Kluyveromyces lactis: one gene and its partner. The protein of the gene in region 1 interacts with the protein of each later gene in a biochemical or structural test. Links are inferred from orthologs where the notes say so. Each region holds a gene or a part of one and is shown on either strand. Other genes may lie near its edges.

The links. The genes of interacting proteins can lie anywhere in the genome.
Region 2: the proteins of IVY1 (region 1) and YPT7 form a complex in vitro, tested with the Saccharomyces cerevisiae proteins (2 studies listed by BioGRID). The link is inferred for Kluyveromyces lactis from reciprocal best matches to the Saccharomyces cerevisiae genes IVY1 and YPT7.

What each region holds. Positions count from the first base shown.
Region 1 is NC_006039.1:1,303,996-1,307,000, forward strand, and holds IVY1 (Ivy1p), read left to right. Parts: upstream 1-1,105; coding exon 1,106-2,443; downstream 2,444-3,005. Other genes in the region: KLLA0_C14993g (DODA-type extradiol aromatic ring-opening family dioxygenase), read right to left, coding at 2,555-3,005. UniProt on the Saccharomyces cerevisiae protein: May be required for vacuolar fusion. Overexpression leads to fragmentation of vacuoles, missorting of the vacuolar enzyme carboxypeptidase Y (CPY) to the exterior of the cell and accumulation of multivesicular bodies inside the cell.
Region 2 is NC_006040.1:109,781-111,997, reverse strand, and holds YPT7 (Rab family GTPase YPT7), read right to left. Parts: upstream 1,215-2,217; coding exon 591-1,214; downstream 1-590. Other genes in the region: KLLA0_D01243g (pirin family protein), read left to right, coding at 2,215-2,217. UniProt on the Saccharomyces cerevisiae protein: Ypt/Rab-type GTPases are key regulators of membrane trafficking and intracellular vesicular transport.

The DNA.
Region 1 (3,005 bases):
TTAACCTAAAAGCTAGCGAACGTGTGGTCGTTGATTTTAGTCTACAATTATAGGTAGTGTATATTTTTCTATAACCCCTTATTCTCTAATCACACACACGGAGCCTAATAAATAACAGGGCAAATATTTCAAATGCAAACCTCAATATAACTGCGGAAAAGAACTATATTACGTTGAGAGTTATTTCTACTACAACTAAGCTGCTCTGTATTCGGTGTAACACGTTGAAAGAGGGAGTAGTCATACCAGATTTGACCTCCGAGAATAAACCATAAAGTTCCCACCAACCTAAATAATCGAACCCTTTTTATATGCAGTTTTTTTCCCAAAATTATCCACTGCTTTACCAATTTTGTCAAATTTCCGATTGTTTCTGAGATTACATGGAAGAACGGATCAACTTCTCGCTTTAAAACCGCAACAAACACATGCCAATTTTCTTAGCCCCATCAGTCCAGTCAGCACAAGTAACTCTGTAAACCCCACAATAGCTAAAGATCTCGCACAACTAAAGTACTACATACAACCACCATTTTCATTTACATTTGTCAGTCATCAATTGCTTGCCTTTTACCCCAGATTCCGCAACATTAATGCACCGGCCGCTTTCTTTTTTCCGTTGTCCTCCCTATATTTCTGGGGTTTCCTGGAACAGCCGTAGGCCGTATTTTATGCAAGGCGATAGTAAGACGCACAAAATTTGCTTCCAGATGCAGGTTTTACATCATCCACAAAAAACAGCCTCTGTTCAAATCCCGACTGAGCTAATTTCCCCTTTTTCATTCAATATGGTTTTGTTGATCACGTGATTGGTGTATTACCCATTTACTCTCGGGGCAGAAAAAAAGAAGTCTTTGTCGTAAGAATTGAATATGAAAGTTAAAATGAAGAACAGAACAATGAATAAAATAGTGGTTACATATGTAGAAGTCTTTCCTCACGTGTATACTTTTTACTTCATTTGTTCTTGATATCGATTAAGCAAAGATACACTTCACTCGAACATAAGTGAGATTTCTTGGGCTGGCCCATTCTTTTTCCTAAATTTGCTAAACCAATTATTGTTTGTTTCCCTGGTAATTCTGCGAACTCTTGTCTTTGAATAATGGAAGTGTCGCCAGAGAGGTATGCTCCACACCTCTCTGAGTTTTATTCAATGATGAATGGAAAATCTAATAACAATTCAAACGATAGCACTAAAGACAAAACCAATACTGGCTCTCTTTCTCCATCGCCAGCGTCGCCCGAAACTGGAAACATGAGAAGACCGTCCTCCATCAGGTCTGGTCTAAGTACCTGTAGTATTACTGATCTTCGAGCATTGGTTAGTAAGGAAGATATTAAGAAAACTGAGAGCGGTGTAAAAAGTTTAGCGGATAAAATTTCAAAGTATTCTCAGAAGTTGAACGAGTTAGCTCAGTTCTCAACAGATATAGCGTTTGAATTGGAAGATATGGCACGCTTAAAAGGGTGCAGTGACCTTACAGCAGACAAATTTGTCAATGCTAGTGGTTTGTTCCATCTTGTGTCAAACCATGATAGAATCATCTCCAATTGTTGCGAGGAAGTGGTGACGAAAGGTTTGAATGCGAAAGTTGAAGTGTTAGAGACCGATTTCAAGAAGGAAGAAGTAGAATTCAAGAAACTGTTCAAGGAACAAAGTATTAAATTGAAGTTGCAAGAAAGGTATAATATGAATTTAGCGAAAAGGAAAATACGTAATTTGATTTCGTATCGTGATAACTTGTCCCTATTACAACAGCAGTTGGATCAATTGGAAATGCTTAAACACGATTATTATCAAAAGTCATACGAAATGGTAGAATCAACTTGTCAGGCAGTTCTCAGAGATATAGCTACATTGGCAAGAGCACAGATTGAGATAAGTGAAAATATTGCAAGAAAAGGTTGGTCCGGTGGAGGATTAGATAACTTGATAATAGACGCTGATGATCCTTTCAATACCGGTAATGAAGAAGAAAACGATGACAACGAACTTTCCCAACTATCTGGCGCATCTTCGCCAGGTTATTCACGGTCGAGTACTCTCACTCCTAAGAAAAATAGTTCACACTCATCTGATGCGTCTCTACTAAACGGATCTAGGCGATTGCAATCACCAGCGAAAGTGATGGTAACGACAGATGAAAATAAAGATAAAGATGATAACTCCGCTCATGAACATAACAACAGCAACTCCCCTAGTTTCCACTCCGAAAATCAGACAGAATCTGGGACTGATAACTCTGAAGATGCAGAAAATGACGACGGGGATGATAATTTCGATAACTCATTTTCTTTACCATTAACTAGTGCTTCGAATAACAAAGAAGTAAATAACTCGGATTCTAAGGATATTGTACTAGGGACTGATGATGTTATGAAATCTACCAGTGAACTGAATATTGACGATCAATCAAGTATTATTTCTCCCAGTTTGTGATTGAGGTATCCAAAAATGTAAAGCGGATCATGATTGATGAATGTTTTTGACATAATTGGGAATAAATATATGTAATTTTGTAACACTATAAAATGATAAAAAAAAACAGAGTCATAACAGATCACCAAATTGGTATATGCCCCATCCAAGGCTCCCTTGGCATTTGTTGTACAATTCTTTAACATTTAAATCGTCTTCTGTAGGTTCCGCAGCGCCAAGTGCTACAATTATAGGCACGAAATGATCCAAAGTTGGATGAGCTTTAAACAATAGCTCCTTACTCTTACCATCAGTAAAAAACGCCTTGAATTTATCCAGTTTATTATGCTGCTTCGTTAATAGGATATCGTTGAGAACTGACGTAAATTCTTCACTGTAATGTTTGCTACCAGCAGATCCCATATCACGTAAATTATGGACACTCATTCCACTTGTTAAAACTATACCACCCTTAGAACGATATTCTGAAAGAATTTGACCCAATTTGTATTGACTATCAAAATCGAGATCGTTACGGGTCAATGAAACTTGCACCAATGGAATATTATGTTGCACTAGCTCA
Region 2 (2,217 bases), on another chromosome or scaffold:
GCCATACCATCAAAGATATACGTATATTTAAATATATATGTATATATATATATATTATCAAAAGGGTGACTATACTAGAAATACGGCTAGCAAGCTTAGACGCAACCAGATCGAGGTTTTCGACTGGTATGAAGTTTGTTCTTGCATTTCGGCAATTACCAGAGCGTATTGAAGATTAAACTTTTCGGCACGTGTGGCATGTGTCTGTACAAATGTTTATATAAAGTGCGCATATCAGAAACAGAAGTCGGGGTCAAAGACACCAAAGAGGTGTCAAACAAAACGTGTTGTGCAGAGTCTAATCATGCTAATGGTTACTCTAATATCAACTCGAGATTTAGATTACATTACATTAAGACTAATTACACGAAGGAGCGTAGTTTCTTTAGATTTTCTATGTAGGTGTGTTAAATTAGATTTGCTTGAAGATTCGTTCCGAGATGTATCTATACGGTATGGGAACAATCCAACGCTAATACGCGTGTTTTCTGACGGTTAGCGTGAAGAAAGTAAGGGAAGGGCAAAAGACAACAAAATCTATTTGTTCCCTTCCCTTTCAGTCGTATTTGATGAGACGCATGCTTTATCAGTTAACAGTTACATGAGCTAGGTTCTCCGTCCAACTGAATATTGATAGCTTCGCTTAGGTCGTCCTCATACGCATCCGCATCAGATTGACTTTGTTGTAATGCGCTGCGTGCGATTTCCTCAAATGCGTCCTGGACATTAATGGAATCCTTGGCACTAGTAAAGAACAGAGGTACGTTTCCCAAGGATTTAGCTTGCTCCTGCGCAGATCTAGAAGAAACCACTTTTTTCGATTCTTCTACGTCAACTTTATTAGCTAGAATTACAAATGGGAAGGTTTCTGGCGAGGAGACGTTCGCATGAACCAAAAACTCATCTCTCCACGACTTCACATTATCGAACGACTTACCATTGGTCACATCGTATACTAACACGCAACAATCAGCACCTCTGTAAAATGCAACACCAAGCGATTGGAATCTCTCCTGACCAGCAGTGTCCCATACTTGCATCGTCGCAACCTTATCGTCATTCACAATGACTTCCTTGGTAAGAAAATCTGCTCCTATCGTAGCCTTATATTGTTGAGAATACTTGTCGTTGACATATCTGTGCATCAAAGATGTCTTACCAACACCCGAATCACCTAGAATGATAACTTTTAGAATATTCTTCTTCCTAGACATGGTAATTTGTGACTAAAAAGTATGAATAAAGGTCCGAAGGTATACCTTGTATGCTCTTTTTCTTTTCTCCTTAAATTTGAAGATAACCTATGATGATTAACAAGGACAAACTATTCTATCGTATTTTTTTCCTTAGTATATAAAACGTTCACCAGAATATCCAATATAACGTATTTCTTATAACGAGGTGTAGTTTGCTCGATCACTGCAGTTGTCTATGATCAATATTATTCGTTTTTTAGCCAAGAAAACATCATTAATAAAGAATGTAATGTGTTATCGTTATTAACAAATAATTACTCTGAATTGAATAATAAGTTCATCCTTTCATATGGATTTCAATATTTACTTGACTGAAAACCATAAAAGTCAAATGTGTTGAAGCAGACACTGAGTTTATTACCCTGACTAATCAGGGTAATGCACCACGATAAGCATCCCTGCATCACACTCGTTGCGAATACTTGCTTATTAAATGTAGACAGAAAAAAAAAATGTGTCAGCTCTTACTAAAGGGAGAGGAACTTTATTGCAGGACCCGATGAGAGCTTATATAAGATGAGTAAGTTGCAAAAGGATCAGCACTCCCTCAGAAATATCAATGTTATTATACATCATTATACATTATTATACATTTTGAACATTTGTCATTGTTCGAAAGTATATTTTCTTGTGTCTGTCTTAAGGTTTTCATCTTAGGCTAGTCATTTGTATTGGTAATTCGGGGTAAGGCATTGGTACTTTGATTTGGATTTTAAAGTATATAAAGGATACGAACTATCGATTAGGTCTAAAATTTTGCAAAATTGGAATTCAATTGAGTGGTAAAATTGTAGAAGTCATTCTAAATTGTATGCTCCAACAATTAAGCTTCAAGTATAACTTGTCAACACCTGTGTTAGTTCTGGTTATATCGATTGCAGTTTATTATTTATCACCTAGCTCATCGGTCTTACAAGCCTTGGAAAAGAGTAGAGATCAGCGTGTTATGTCTTCATAGATG